2 linked regions of the Lytechinus pictus genome follow. Each later gene encodes a partner of the first gene's protein in a complex. Links are inferred from orthologs where the notes say so. Each region holds a gene or a part of one and is shown on either strand. Other genes may lie near its edges. The genes, in order: oligosaccharyltransferase complex subunit ostc-B-like and keratinocyte-associated protein 2-like.

Evidence for each region.
Region 2: oligosaccharyltransferase complex subunit ostc-B-like (region 1) and keratinocyte-associated protein 2-like share a complex: the UniProt entries of both Drosophila melanogaster proteins name them as parts of the oligosaccharyltransferase (OST) complex. The link is inferred for Lytechinus pictus from reciprocal best matches to the Drosophila melanogaster genes CG9662 and CG31460.

Annotation. Positions count from the first base shown.
Region 1 is NC_087246.1:18,766,094-18,774,324, reverse strand, and holds the start of oligosaccharyltransferase complex subunit ostc-B-like, read right to left. Parts: upstream 3,202-8,231; 5' UTR 2,892-3,201; coding exon 2,753-2,891; intron 1,866-2,752; coding exon 1,792-1,865; intron 775-1,791; coding exon 557-774; intron 1-556. UniProt on the Drosophila melanogaster protein: Subunit of the oligosaccharyl transferase (OST) complex that catalyzes the initial transfer of a defined glycan (Glc(3)Man(9)GlcNAc(2) in eukaryotes) from the lipid carrier dolichol-pyrophosphate to an asparagine residue within an Asn-X-Ser/Thr consensus motif in nascent polypeptide chains, the first step in protein N-glycosylation.
Region 2 is NC_087249.1:30,323,993-30,332,034, forward strand, and holds the start of keratinocyte-associated protein 2-like, read right to left. Parts: upstream 3,215-8,042; 5' UTR 2,992-3,214; coding exon 2,988-2,991; intron 1,580-2,987; coding exon 1,425-1,579; intron 294-1,424; coding exon 230-293; intron 1-229. UniProt on the Drosophila melanogaster protein: Subunit of the oligosaccharyl transferase (OST) complex that catalyzes the initial transfer of a defined glycan (Glc(3)Man(9)GlcNAc(2) in eukaryotes) from the lipid carrier dolichol-pyrophosphate to an asparagine residue within an Asn-X-Ser/Thr consensus motif in nascent polypeptide chains, the first step in protein N-glycosylation.

The sequences.
Region 1 (8,231 bases):
TATGTCCCGGGCCCTGCTGCATAAAAGTTAATATGATTGGAACTTTGCCATCTAATGGTAACTACCAAGGAAGCATGGCTTAAACCTCAACAAAAGCAAATCAAAATCAAAGGATTTTTCGAAAGTTACTTCCTTTTACCACTTCAGAATAGTGTTTTCTCTCAAGTAAAAAAAAAAAGTCATTGGTTCACCCATTCCAGGTGACTCCAGGTCCAAGGTTGAATAAACCCAAGGACATGGCCATAGATGCCCTGTGGACTGGCCGTAATGCTCCTCCATTGGTCTTGGAGATTTGTTGGGCACTTTTATTTCATTTATTTCTTTTCTATTTGTGCTGTAATATTTAAATGCTTAAATATTCGCCCTAAAAATTTTCGGAATTTAAGGCCTATGACTTGTAAACGTAACAACTCCGCAAACTCTGAGTGCAGACCTAGCCATATTTTCTTTTTCAAATCATATTAACATCATAATATGATTGGATTTACATCAAAATTTTATATAGTGTATTTCTATAAATCTACCATAAATATTTTTCTAAAATCAAAATACTTACGGAAGCTTCATTCGCATGAATACTCTACACATGAAGAAAGATATGAGGATACAGATGAAGCCCACTAGAAGAAGAAGAAAACGGTTGAGTTTGGGCATCACAGTTGAGTTAGATTTATCGAGAACGACAAAGCCTAACCCTCCGATGGTAAAGAGAAAACTAGACGCCAAGCCCTCCATGATGTACTGTCCATTCACCCTGTATGGCATGAAGGCAACCTACAAAGGACAGGAATACAAATTAATAATAATAATCGATCACTAGCATATCCAGCATCAGCTATGACAAAGAAATGTATGGGTCCATGCACAAACATAATAGAATCACTATTGTCCCCAGACAACTGGGCGGGCCCATAAAATGCTTTGTAGGATCTGATGCTGGATACGTGCCTGATAATATGCAACATTCGTATCGTACTTTGACTTTACACAATATAGTACCGAGTACTATTACCCTGGCCTGAGCATGGCTACAATGATCAGGTGCTTGAGCAATGATCATTCAAGTAATTCCATCCTACCAGGTACCAGGTACCCATTTAATACACCTGGATGGTGAATGGCAAATGTAGATAAAAATTAGCTAAAGGACTTGAGTGTTGCAGGACTTTATATCACGGACGTGAGACGTCCCTGTTAAAATACAGAGACTTATCCACTGAGCCACATTCAAGTTTACAAATTTCTGTGATGATGAAACTTTCTGCATTTAATGTAAATGGGAAGTTCTAATTGAATTAGGCTAAGTGAAATTAAATAAGGTAGAATTTGGCTTAACGTTTAGAAATTATTTCCTTAAATGACAGAAAGACTAAACTTTTTGTTTTCTTTTAATCTAATAAATAACAAGTTATATAAAATGTGAGTAGACGCCTTTTCAAAAGTATGGGCCATATCTTTTAGTAGGAATTAGGAATCTTGCAGAGTGTCTTACAGATTGGCATTCATCATTTCCCCCAAAGTCATGTCCATGATGAAATGTGACCTATAGGTATGAAGAGACACTAACAAGATTCCTGCTAAAAGACATATTCAGACATAATCAAACTCCCTTTGATAATAATTATAACTCTTCCTTGTTAATTTACTGTCAATGTTCTTTTTAAAAAAAATCACATCTTTGAATTCCATTTTCTTTTTAGAATTGATTGTCTCACCAGTAAGAATCTAAATTCATCTAAATTCATTTAAATCACAATTAATGCTCAATTTAAAAGATACAAGATGACATACTGGTTTTTGATGTCCATTTTCATCTGTTGTAGATCCCACACTTGGAGGCTCAACAATAACATCATAGATTACACCTGCAAAGTGTTGAGAAAATAAAAATCACAATACATGAGGCAATGGTGAAATATCCTTAGAAAACTAAAACCAACTACAGTCACAGACCCTTCTCAGTTTTGCCCCCAAGCTTTGAATAATTTCCCCCATTAACAATGACATGTGAAGCACTATCGTTGAACTTTAAGCCCCTCCTAAAATCTGACTGTTGATAGTTTCAGTTTTAAGAGTTACTGATCTTATCAATATCAATTGAATTGATATACATATCGACCCTCTAAGTACATATTTCTTGATTTTATTTCTGTACTTCTAAATGAAGTCATGCAAGTAGACACTAAATGATGTCTTGACATTTTTTTTTTATATCCCCAACTTAAGATCTATTCACATAATTCTTAGGCAGCTCTTTGAAACATATTAAAAGCACTTTATCAATCTTGATTAGAGGGGCTATTTATCTTTCTAGTATTTTTAGTAAGACTCTCAGACTCTACTGTCTGAATTATACTATAGTATAGATTCCCCAACATAGATCTAAGTTACGTGCGTGCATCCATGACCATGACAGTTACTTTAAGTTTAATTTGAATTTGTTACTTAGTTTGGCCTTTGGGTGTGTCTTGTCTCAGACCGTACCGTTCAGCGAATACCGAAGTTTGGCTGCATATGAAATAAGTATGAACGTTTATACAGTATTAATAGGCAGGAGGTGAGGGTTAACAAGCAGGGAAAAACAAAACAAAAGCATGAAAGTAAAAGTTCAAAAGCTGTGAGTGTGACGCTCGGCCGCGGCTGCGTCATCGCGTCGCTTGAGTGTATCTCTGCGGAGTTCATACCCGACCGACCCGGGGTATCGTTCATCGACATATCGTGGCCTGAACAACTTAACTTGGCTCACACTTACCTCCCGTCACTAAGAAGTATGATGCTAAAACAACGAAGTAAACTGTCATTGCAGAAGGTGCATGAAGCCATGATGGTTTTTTCAGTTTTAAATGTGGGCATTCCAAAACAGAAAAGGGCAATGCATAAAGTCGTTCCATTTTAAAGAGATATTCTGTGGCCAATAGTCACGTTAAGACAAAATTCAACAGCCACGTCCTCACGATATATAGGTATCGCATTATAGACTTCGATTCAGACGTCGATTGAGCATTTATTTGAGCTTGAGCTGCTATATAGCTATCCGGATGTAGATCTAGATCGTCCCTGGGGACGGTGGGGACGTCGCCACTAACTGTTTGTATTCGTGCCAGCCTGCCACATTAGATAGAGATGTGTTGTTTTACTATCCCCATCGATTGAAGAAAAATATAATAGAGAGGAGCTAACAATATACAAATCATTTTCAATAGAATACAACTCAGTCTGGGGGAGGGGCAGTGCGGTGGTGCGTCAAGGTGCGAGTATATTTCCAAGTTTTTCCTTTCATTGTAATAATGCATCAAATAATTAATTTTCATGAAATGATTAAAAGTAGGCGACACATGTAGGCCCTACACACATACGCTTAGATTCTTGACTCTAAATTGTGTAATGTCGGCCCCATTGGCGGCGGAAGCCAAAAAATTTAGGGGGGCCGGGTGGGGGGTCCACCTGAAATTTAGGGATGGACACAGGTAAAAAATTGGACAAGCAAAAAAAAGGTTATCAACCAAAATTTTAGGGGGTCCACCTGAATTTAGGGGGGACGCAGAAAAGAAAATTGACAAGCAAAAAAAAAAAGGTTATCAACCGAAATTTTAGGGGGGTCCGTCCCCCCACCTCAAATTTAGGGGGTACAGGACCGCCCGTCCCCCGGGCCCCCCGCTTCCACCGCCTTTGGCCGACCCCCGCCCCCCCCCCCCCACCACCATGGTTCAGGCATGTCCCCATATTTCGGGGGCCCTTTTTCAGCTTAAAAGGGGTACCAAGAAATTGCTCCATATCTTCCATTTGGGGGAATCTGGATCCCTGAGTTAACTTAATGTGCCAAGTTCCTGATGGCCGGGAATGAGTGTATTTTACATCAGTAGACAGTGGCATAATGAGCAAAAAAATTGAGGGGATCAATATGGCGTATCGCTGGAAATTGATAAGAAATTGAAAATCATTGACCATTTTTACAAAAATCAAATTTTGTGATAGATTTTGACATCATTACCCTTATCCTTTTCCTTTTCTCTTTTTATTCTCGGTCGTGAAAATTGGGGGATGCAAGACCCCCCCCCCCCCCTCCCCATCTGTTCGCCCATGGAGCCTAGCTATAGGAGCTAGAGGGAAATAATTCCTGAAAATCATTGAAATAGGGGGTCTTTTACCATAAGTCCAGAAATACTTTAATTTTGGGGTAGTGCAAATGACTCCCAAATCAAATCCACAAAAGGCACTATAGCCGATCTGTCAGTGGCAGTTAGCCAAATTTGGGGGCGGACACTTACAATAGAAAAATAAATATGTAGACCCTTACCAAATAAACTAAAATTTTGGTAGAACATTTCAATAATCCTATTTTGTCAGATTTGTATAAGTCTGCATTTTAATTGATATACCACAAGTGGATTAGAATCATGTGGTACAAGCCAGCAGAAGCCTATAGTGCCTCGCTTTTTCCAAATGGTATAAATTTGAAATAGATCATATCAGGGGCAGAGAGGCTGACTGGGGGACCGGGGTGTATTGTGGTCAGGGATCGATCTCGAGTCAGTAAAAAATTCTGCACGGCAAGTTAAAACCAATCAGAGTCTGTGCTTATAGACTACAGATGCGACGAAGAAACTATAAGATCAAAGATGGACTACTCTCCCAAGTGTATACAACCTCGATGGTAGTACAACTTAAACTCCCTCAGAAGGCCGTGCTCCTGCACTGAGATCAGTGTCCAGTCCTTCTGTAGAAATGTAAGTCCTATATACACTTTTAAAAACAAATCAGTCTGACTAGTTAATAGGGTCAGCTGGGTGCAACTGTTATTCTAGTCATATTTAACAAGACCCACCCCCAAAAAAGAAAAAAAATCAGAAAACCTATAAAAAAAACCTCCTCTGACACAATGGATATCAGTCTACAACTAGGCCTAATATGCGATTCTAGAACTTATATGTTTTGCGGCTCCTCACGAGCAATTTAAGTATAATATAATAAAATAGAAGCATATACGACGCCACAATTAAACCCCTAGAAACTGATAATAATGAAATAGTAATAACAAAACCGCAGAAAGAACTATTTGCATGGACCATCACCCAGGGGCCATCAATATTTGAAGGAAAATTCCAGGAATTCATACTCTTCCTTTTTTTTTAGTGGAAGTAGACCTATATCTCAGGTGCGGCGGAGCGTAGCTGAAATGGGGACACGTGCAGGGGAAAAGGGCACCTTTTCTTTCAAAAAGGTCACTATCTTAAACATGGCCGTATGCAGAAATTTTTGGTGAGGGGCAGCACGTGTAAACTTTTTGGAAAAAAATCAAAAGCGAGGGAGCGAAGCGACCGAGCTAATCATTAAGGCCCTTTTGCATTTTGTTAAGTGAAATTGATGGATTTTGTACATACTTTTGGTGAATTTTGTAAAAATCTGCAGTTAAAAAAGATTAAGTTTTCGGGGGGGGTGGGGGGCTGCCCACTGCCATGAGACAAAGCATTGGAGGGCACAGCATTGTTCACAAAGAATACAGTGCCCCTCCAATCATTAATCTCCTTCGGGTCACAGTCTGCCACTGTTTGAAATACCTATCCTGTTCATGATTAGAAAAGTGCTTAGAATGTCCCGTTTTTAGGTCTGAAATCTCTTTTTTTTTCCGTTCGCTCTTCGCGCTCGCATCAATTTGTATAGTTATATACCTATCCTGTTCATGGTTACAAAAAGTGCTTAGAATGTCCAGTTTTTAGGTCGCCGAATGTCAACATTTTCAGCTCGCGCTTCGCGCACGCATTATTTGATTGTTAAAATATGTATCGTCTTTATGGGTAAGTGCAAACAGTCCTTATTACCGATCCCTTTTCGATCTGGCCAGAACGTATATATCAAAGATATCTTCTCGCGCTGATCGCACTCGCAGTAATTATTTGTTAGGGCACTTAAGGACGTTCCACAGTTAAAGTGAAATCCATGTCATTTTCACCAAACTTTGCACATAAATACTTTAAAACCTGAATATTCGAAATATGCAAAAATTAACATATGTCCATGTGCTTGATTTTTTGCTATAGAGCTTCAAAGTTCACCTAAATGGATGTTCTTAAGAATTGCGCATTCAAAAGAATTTGGCATTTTTAGACCTCGCAATATCACTGCAATGAGTTTAAACCTATATTACTCAGTCAAGATACATGAAAAAGTCATCAAATTTTTCAAGAGAGTTAATCGTTGTATTGTTAGAATGGAGAATCTATTTATACTGCTATTTGTTTGCAATTTTAAGTCTAACAGCACTGTCAGTTCTTAAAAATGGCGTAAGAGATAACAAAAACCCAATCTCAAAAATGTGAAATTTCAATAAAAAACTACAAAAGTACAAAAAATGCTGCACTTTATTCAAAATCCATGTCATTTTCACCAAAATTTGCAAAGTTGTAGAGGAAGGTATACATAAGAGGTGCAAACATTAAAAAATAGGGGTTCATGTGCTCGTTTTCAAACTATCAGTATTTTTATTAGAGAAAATGTGCTTTCTAAACACCAAAAATGTGCCAAATGCTTTGTATCTATGTGAAGACAAAAAACAAAACCACTCTACCATTTATTCAAACTCGGGGTCATAATCGTGATTCTTGGCAGCATTGCAGAGTAAAGTATGTCAAAATTGTAGACATATTTTTTAAAATGGTCCATGGAATAATTCCAGTTTTTTAGCTTCATAAAATAACGCATCGGATCTGTAGTTAGCATGAAGATGATGAGAAAAATCAGCTCATAACCACAGCTAATTAATCGCCTGTTCATTGACGTTCCACAGTTAAAGTGAAATCCATGTCATTTTCACCAAACTTTGCACATAGATACTTCAGAACCTTAATATTCGAAATATGCAAAAATTAACTTAGGTCCATGTGCTTTATTTTTTGCTATAGAGCTTCAAAGTTCACCCAAATTGATGTTCTTAAGAATTGCGCATTCAAAAGAATTTGGCATTTTTAGACCGCCCAAGATTACTACAATGAGTTTAAACCTCTATTACTCAGTCAAAATACATGAAAAAGTCATCACATTTCGCAATAGAGTTAATAATTGTATCGTTAGAATTGAGAATCTATTTATAGTGCTATTTGTTAGCAATTATAAGTTTAACAGCACTGTCAGTTCATAAAAATGGCGTAAAAGATAACAAAATACCAATCTAAATAATGTAACATTTCAGTAACAAACTACAAACGTACAATAAATGCTGCACTTTATTCAAAATCCATGTCATTTTTACCAGAATTTGCAGGGTTGTAGAGGAAGGTATACCTAAGAGGTACAAACATTAAAAAATAGGGGTTCATGTGCTTGTTTTTAAACTATCAGCATTTTTATTAGAGCAAATGTGCTTTTTAAAACACCAAAAATGCACCGAATGCTTTGTATCTATGTGAAGTAAAAATCAAAACCACTCTACCATTTATTCAAACTCGGGGTAATATTCGTGATTCTTGGCAGTTCTTACGAGAAAAGTATTTTGAAATTGTAGAGAATTTTATTTTGAATGGCCCATGGAATACTTCAATTTTTTAGCTTCATGAAATAACGCATCGGATCTGCAGTTAAAGTGCAGAAGATGAGAAAAATCAGCTCATACCCGCAGCTAATTAATCACCTCTTCATCCATTGTGACGTCAGCGCGCAGAGTGTAAACTATGCGCAGATCATAATGCGCACAAACATAACTGTGGAACGTCCTTAACTGCATGGATAAATAATTTTTACAACTATGATTTATTTATGCACGTCATAGATCCTTTCAAGTTTGAGCTGCTATTGAAAACTATGAGATAAATTTTCCCCGTCATTTCACTCTTTCACTTTTAAGTTCCGCCCCCCCCCCCCTCCTCTCTCTTCGTACCATCGTACCCTTTCCCCTGTGTAGGCCAAGTTGGATGACTTTAAATTCTTTCTCTTTTTTTTCACCGTAGAATACGTCCGGGATGCGTTTTTTTTTTCATCATCTTCTTCTTCTTCCTTTTTTTTTTACCTTCTTCATTTTGTGCCCAAGTAATGTATACGATGACCAGGGTCGTTTGCATTTTTTTCTTTTATACACTAACAGGTTCAAAAGGCAAGACCGTGGACCCTGAGAAAAAGATAATTAAACAGGGAAAAATCAAACTCAAGCATGATGCTAAGGTTCATAACAATTGGATGTTAGTTTATTAACCTTCTAAATAAATGAGACTGTCGATACCGTCCCTCCCTCATGCACTATT
Region 2 (8,042 bases), on another chromosome or scaffold:
CTTGAGGAATGCATATTCTAATGTTGAGCTGAAACTACATATACTTCTGGCAATTCCCCTCAACATGGTTGGTTCCACCTAACCACCATCAAAAAAAAAAAAAGTTGTAATAAAAGTAATAAGTGTAAATTCATCCTTGCATATCCAAAGAACACAGAAAAGAACCAATGCTTTACATGTATTGCAAATTAACAAAAGCAGATGAAGATTGACTTTCAGTGATACATACCTTCTGGAATGAGTTTCGCCTGAAATCCTTTACCAAAGAGCATAGTTTCAATGTTACTAATGCACTGCAGATTTTAGCAGTTAAAGATAAATTCCAGTTTTGGTAACGATCTCAAAATGACTTTTTACAGAATCTAATATAATGACCACCCAAGTGTCTGTTTGGATGAATAAAAAATATGTGCCAAAGGATTCTGGTCGAAATTGTGTAATTGCTGAGAAATAAGCAAAATAAGCGCGGATTCGGTCACTTCCGTCGGGTCTTTATTCCAGCAATAATAATACACTGTCCCACGTGTGCCTATCTGTGTTGGGGATCTTCAGTGTGAATATTTTCAGCGTAGATTTCAAGATTTCACAAAGTTCAGTTTATGTAACTGTACCAGATCTAGATCCTCGATGGTATACTGACAATTAAGCCTGGTTTTACAGACTTTCTCATGAAATCAATGTTTACTGCAACTACTGGCATTTCTCTTTAAGGATAACACCATAGTAATAGTATACATTACATGGCTAACAAATCTATGCAATTTTGTTTAAATGAAGTAGAGTTGACATGGCATGGCTCATAGCTTAATATGAAGGGGGCTACATGTATTAACGTGAGGGTGCCTGTGATATCAATTGTTCTATCTTGCCTCCTACTTCCCATTCATTGACCAATGATAAAAAAAAATTATGAAAGCAGCAAAAATTGCTGGCCTAGAAGACTTTGAGGAACCCAAGAACTATCAGGGATTTATAATATTTAATCACAAATATTTTAGACAAATGACCCATCATTGAAACATCTAGTTTCGAAATGATGTAAACATGGTTTCTCCCCTGCTTTGCTTGTTGCAGTTGATGTGCATGATGCACTGTGCAAAATTAACTACACTCAGCACACATGATGCTAAAAATTGCATGAAATGATGAAAACACAATCACATCAAGTGACCAATTCTTGTTCAAACTGGAACACTGCAGAGATACTAAATTAGGCTGAAATTATACAATATTTTTAGGTTATTGCTTGGCAATGCAACTATTTTGCAACATTTTGGTAGATGGTTTTAAACTAAATTAAAGAAAAAGAAATAAAATATGCTCCTTTCAATTAAGAAAATTCCTTTCAGCATAGAGAAGCACCCTTTAGGATTCCCGTAAGATCAGCACAACATTGAACACAATTGAAAGTTTGCAAAGGATACAGTGAGGATCAAGATGAATAGGTCAGCTCCAAGGAATCCACCAAATATTGTCAGCCATTCTGAATCTGCGAGTTGGGTGCGGTATGTCTGCATACCAGCAAACAGGGCTACTGCTAGGATAGCAGACAAAAGAGCCGATACTCCACTACTGACAGCTGAAAGGAACAAGTCACAAATTGATGTTTGAACAATCTATAATGTCAGATAAAAAATAATGAAGGGGGTAGCAATCAGCACTTTTTAAAATTTACAATAATCAGGGCCATAAAATTGGTCATACATGTATGCCATGGTGAAAGGCTTCCTGATCCTATTTCTTGCAAAAATAATTTAAAAACCAGGATGTTATAAAAATCTATATTTCAAGTAATTTCCAAACAAATTCTAAACAAGAACATATTTTCTACAATTTACATGACAGATTTTATATCAGAGTGCACTGGTTGATTTATCTTTTTCTTAATATTCTCTAAACCGAATCAAGTTTCTATTTAAAAACGAAATCTTCAATCCTCTTCAAAAATTACCCTACTCAATACCCACGATCCCTTTGAATTGCCTTGCGCAATTCCCTTCCTCATACTGTTAATGATTCCATCCTGAAAATGACACTTCACTATATATATAAAATTCATGCCCATCACCTGTACTCTTCAAGTGGGCTAGATTTAATCCTGGCAGTAAATGCTCAAGACATCAATGCTCTTGACCGCGATTTGTCACTAATCTCCGAAGAGCGGAGGATCAAAACAGGGAGAGTAGGCCGTAGAGGCGCAGAAGCCCATTTATTTTGTGTGTGGATGACAACAAAAATACTTAAATGAGGAAAAGTTCTGTCTCGTTTGTTCTCCTTCTCTCAAAATTGAAAACAAAATGGCCGATCGATACCGAGAATGAACGCGACATGGAGGTCTAACTTTTCCATTTTTGAGGATCCGGTTTGTGTCTCGATGTCAGGATTCTGTGTGACGATAGACCTTCATGTCATCCATATAATCCAGGTAAGTGCATAATTTATTTTTTCCCCTTTTATTTGGAGGGCTATTGCGACCCCATTCTACCCCATTTTGGAGAGTACCCATGTCTGCCTAGTATTAGTTTACACGGACGAGTCGAGTCCTGGGGCTGGGCTCCGGCCCGCGAAGGCGAAGCGGGCCAGAGCTCCCGACCCTGGCCTGGGTTAGTGAGTTACAAAAAAATACAAAGGAAAGCACATCCACATGATAATGTTTACAATTATTTGGCTATTTGTTGCCAAAAAGTTCTGGAGCAAAAGATGATTGATTTAAAAAATCTAAGTGTCCGGACTCCAGACACGCCGGCATCGAGACCCCCCCGCCTCAATGCATTGACATTGTTTTACCCCAATATAACACACACGGAAACCAGGGCGCGGGACCACTACAAAAAAAGTTGAGATTATATACAACAACTCTAATTACTTCAAAACGCATTTTTCCCACTCTCATGCCTCACAAACGCTTCAATATCAAAATATATTGCAATACTGACGGATTTTCTCCATTTAAGTGACGATTAACGTTAAGATAATATAAGAATTACCCATATTTGAAGTCGCAGTTCTTCCACGTCGGCACTACTGGTCAGAAATATTTCAGACAAATTAGATATTTTCTTTTAAATCTTATTATTGAAAAGGTTAATAATAATGACGATTATCGTGATTAATAAGACATCATGATTCGGTAATGAAGTTTTTTATTGATTATGTTATGAAATCATTGCCTATAATGGATTACTTTGTTAATGTAATTGATAGTAATAAAATCATTTATCAGGACTTAAGACTACGTGTAGATTTCCACCCCCCCCCCTTATGCTCGGATACCATAGAGATACAGTGCGTCCCAAAAAAGAAGCTATTTATTTATTTATTCAAACAACTTTCAACATGATAAAACATTACTCAGCTCGCAGGCTGTTTCACATAATGGTCCTGCATAAGGAGAGAAATACACATATTAAGAAAGTGAAACATCAGAATGAAAAATGAACAAATAGCAAAATTTATCTCATAATAAGATTGTAGTGACAATTTCTGAGTTTATTTTAGGATATCAAAGAAGCCTGAAATACTTTTATGTGATACTGCGTAAAACAAGAATCAAAAGCACTTTTATGTGATACTGTGTAAAACAAGAATCAAAAGCACTTTTATGTGATACGTGTAAAAAAAAAAGAATCAAATGCAATTTGGATTTTTTTAGTTGGACGCAAAGAAATTTCCACCTGTCATTATTAAAGACAGTATTTCCGGAACAGCAGGTGAATTTCAAAAGAAAGCATTCCCAATACGTGTTGAACCCTAAGAGACACGGACTTAGTAATAATATGTAAATAATGTTTTTCCTGGTTACGAAAAATGACCAATTAGATCTCGCCCTGTAAGGGCGGTTTCGTGCGTTCTTAATTAAACGGGGACTCTCACAAAAAACCCGGTTGCTGATACTTCAGCAGAGCCGTCGGTGTTTAATTTTGGTTACATCTTTTTCTATGGGGATTTGAACCAATATCTCCCCGAGATCGTCGGCTTAGCTTCCCAACAGCGTATACCACACTGATGCTGTATGGGCTCTTCATTTTGTAAAGGAGAAATGGACTCCTGTTTTAGCTGACTTTTTACTTCTTTTTCCTGATATTTATCGGGTTCCACTGAGACCCTCACCATAGACGAGTTTTTGTCCTGCATGACATCGATCGATGATTCATCAAGACCGGTTTTCCACTCTCCGTTGTATACGGCAGGCCTAGCTACGTATTTCACCATTCCAAGTTCAGGTCGAACAACTCAATTCGCAAAGTAGATCGAACTGTCAACTTCTCAACGCTTTGGCCTATTTTGGAGTTTATATCCTATTTTATTACATAATCAATTGCTCTGTTATAATTCCTTTGAATATTCGACATTACTTTATTTACTGTCTTCATTATTGGATATATCATACAGGCATTTCTTTGAGTTGTAAACACTTTGTAAATTTGTCAAAGAAAACATTCGAATCATTTTCATTATAAATCGAAGTCATCGAACTGTAATTATTTTGTCAAGTGCTTATTTTTCTTGAATGATCACGTTTAGCTAAAAAGTTGGGGTGTTTGAGTCGCCGTGCTTGTTGTTGCTTGTTTAGTTTTTTCCCCTATTTTTTTCCTAGTCTGATTGATTGGTGTGTTTGATTTATCTTTGTTTTTAAAGAGAAACATAACATTTTCTCCACCAAATTCATAAATACTCAGATCCGTCCCAACAAGATAAAGAAGTGATGAAGGGAAAAGATAGAGGTTTTATACACCGATATGAAATCACGTTAAAAAGGGAATAGGCCTCAATTTAATGAATTGTATCAATATTAATACTTATAGGAAATCATAATAATCGATAATTAACGTTAGATGTGTATTCTTGGGTAATCATGCTAATAATAACAATACTATAAGTATATATGAACCAAAATAAAACAGTTTAAAAATTCTTATTGATCTAAGCGAAATTTCTTATAATGATATTCATGCAACAGAAATGGCATTATGGACTCTTCCGGGAGTTTATTCCAAGTTACATGACTGTTCCGGCATATCATAAATATGTTAGGTTTTGGTAATACTGCATTTAGTAAGTTTGCATTACTAGTGTTCATGCCATGGTGATCGAAATACATTTCAATTTCATTTGATAAGCAGGGAGGGGCGACGCCCCCTATACACTTGTAGGCCTGCATATGAGAATATCCAGAAAATAATCCCGACGTTGGTCAATATAGTTTGCCAGGAGAGTTCATTTATGAATGTATTCCCGCTCGCAATTTGATAGTCAGAAATTCCAGATACATATCTAGCAGCTTTTTTTTGCAATCTATTTAGGGGCAATTTGTAGGCCGCTGCATGGACATGCAGTTGCCCCAAACAGAGCTATAGGAAATCAGTGTAATTTTTTGCCACTGAATCAGTTTGCTTCATGAGATGTAAATCAATGAAAAGATATGCTGGCCATCTCAACGTGCATGCTGTGGAAAATAGGAAAAAAAGAACACTTTTCGGTCTCAGTTTCGGTCAGAGATTAACAGTTAGACCGATATTTAATAGGCAGGGGCGTCGATTCATTTTTCAGATTGGGGGGGCAAAATCATTAACGTTCCAAAGGCGCTCGATCGTATAAGACACCCATCCACCCCCCCCCCCCACACACACACACACACCCACACACACACACACATATATATATATGACTCATGAGACACAGACACGTATCTCACCATCAACAAATTAATGCGAGCGCGAAGCGCGAGCTGATTTTTTTTTAGCATACTGACAGGAAAAGCGTGCCTGTTTAGGGCTGTTTGTAACTCATGAGGATACATATCTCACTACACAGATATAATTTTGATATTTCGATCTGAAAAAAATGACAGTTTAATGTAAGTTTTTGATAAAGAACAAGATATATATCCAAGAAAAGATGATTGCAAATCGAAGCAGGAGTTCTTTTGAAGCTTAAAACTGAAAATGGGACATTTACATTCACCTATTCAATCATGAAAAGTATGGGTTTTTACTACAGAAATGATGCGAGCGCGAAGCGCGAGCTAAAAAATTTTATATTCCAATCTGAAAAGCAGACATTTTGAGCACGATTTTAAATAAAGAACGAATTGTGTATCTCAATCTCGCTTGCTGAACATTACAATCTTTTTTTTTTTTTTTGTATATCCGGAATTATTGGGGGGGGGGGGGCAAAATGATATGTTTGCCCCCCCCCCAATATTTTCATTGGTGGGGCGATCGCCCCCCTGCCCCCCCAGGATCGACGCCTCTGTTAATAGGTTTATTTCTGTCCCAGGGATATGCTCCGCTGAGATTTCGGCATGGCTCCGCGGCATCCCCTCCGTCAATATGTAAATTCACGGTGGAGCCACTGAAAATTTCCATTTGCACGAGTAAAAAAATTAATTTTCTGGGTTTTACTGCTATCGGAAAACAAAGTTCAGAAGACCTTGTGTGTTAAAGGACAAGTCCTATACCAACAAAAGGTTGATTGGAATAAAAGGAGAAAAATAAAAAAATAACACAGAAAATCTCATCAAAATCGGATAAAAGTTATATATTTCAAAGTTTAGCTTAGTACAAAAGTTATATGCACACCCTGGTAGGTATGCTTGGCCGACCGATGACGTAGGCTACTATTTTTTTGGTATTTTGTTATACGTAATATGGAATATTTCAATTTTCTCCTCAGTTGCATGAGAAACAAAGTTTTATTCCTTCCTGAACCATTGTTTTAACATTGTGGCTCAACAAAGACCCGGGGTCCGTATTGTAAATCCTGTGAAAATTGAAAATAAAGGACTATTGTATAATTCAAGCAATAAAAAAATAAATAAATAGTGAATGAGTGACATCATCAACTCTCTCATTTACATATCACTGACTTGTGCATATAACTGTTTTGTGAATAAGCGAAACTTAGAAATGCCATACACTTTTTATATATTTTACATCCGATTTTGATGAAATTTTCAGCGTTATGCTTGTTTGATTTTTCTCTATCGATTGAAATCAAGTTTTTCCTGGGGTGGCTTTGCCGTTTAAAAATGATTGACGTATGGTCGAGAAAAGCTGCATGAAATCATATTTGATTCCTGCATTAGCGTACCTAAGGGGGGGGGGGCAGACTGCCCCCTCCTGACGAGTCACAACACATGCAAGGGACGTATCTCTGCCCCCCCCCCCCCCCCCGACGAGTCAAAACTGATCCCTGACGAGCTAAGTGGGCCCTTCCTTTGAACTTGAAGACCATTTTGTTTTGCTTGTCAATTTTATTCTGGTGCGAAAGGTCCTTTACTTGCGGTTGAAGACCTTTTTTTTTGGCGGACGAATTTGCCCCCCCCCCCCTTTGGAAAATCCTAGGTACGCCACTGGATTCCTGTATTGGACGGTGGGAACGTTCAAGGCACTCTGACAAAAATTTATTGTAAAAAAAAATCAGAAAACATATTTGTGGAGATTCGAGGAAAATCCATCAAAATTAAGAAGTTATGATTAGATTTTGAAGTTTTTGATCTGTGACGTCATATACGAGCAGCTGCCCCGCCTCGCGCCAATGTAGGGATATGGAAAACTAACGGACAGAAGAGGTCTTCACTGCACACGCGCACTCTTGAATTTCACTTCCATCATACCCTTTTTATTTCCACAAACTAATGTGTATCTATAGGATAAGATGGAATCAGGTAGATTTTTAGTTCCCTGGAAATGAACATCTTCTTCTATCAGCAGACCATAATTTCATTTACATCCAATAAGTGAGAAATGTGGTACTTAAAATCCGAAGTCAGGGATATATATTGGGATGATGGGTTTGGGGGCATGTGGACTATATCTGTCACATCGGACGGCATGTACTTTCGTTGGGATTTTAATAAAGGGGATATTGTAAGGCAAATACTCATGAAAGAAAACCATGAGGATTGGTTAAAAAGACTTAGTGCAATACCAATCACTGAGGAGAGTTTGTGAGATAGCAAAGAGCAGACCCACATGCCCTAGCTTACTCAATGTACAGTCAATACACCATATAGGGCGGCTAGCTGGTCTGAGCTTTTG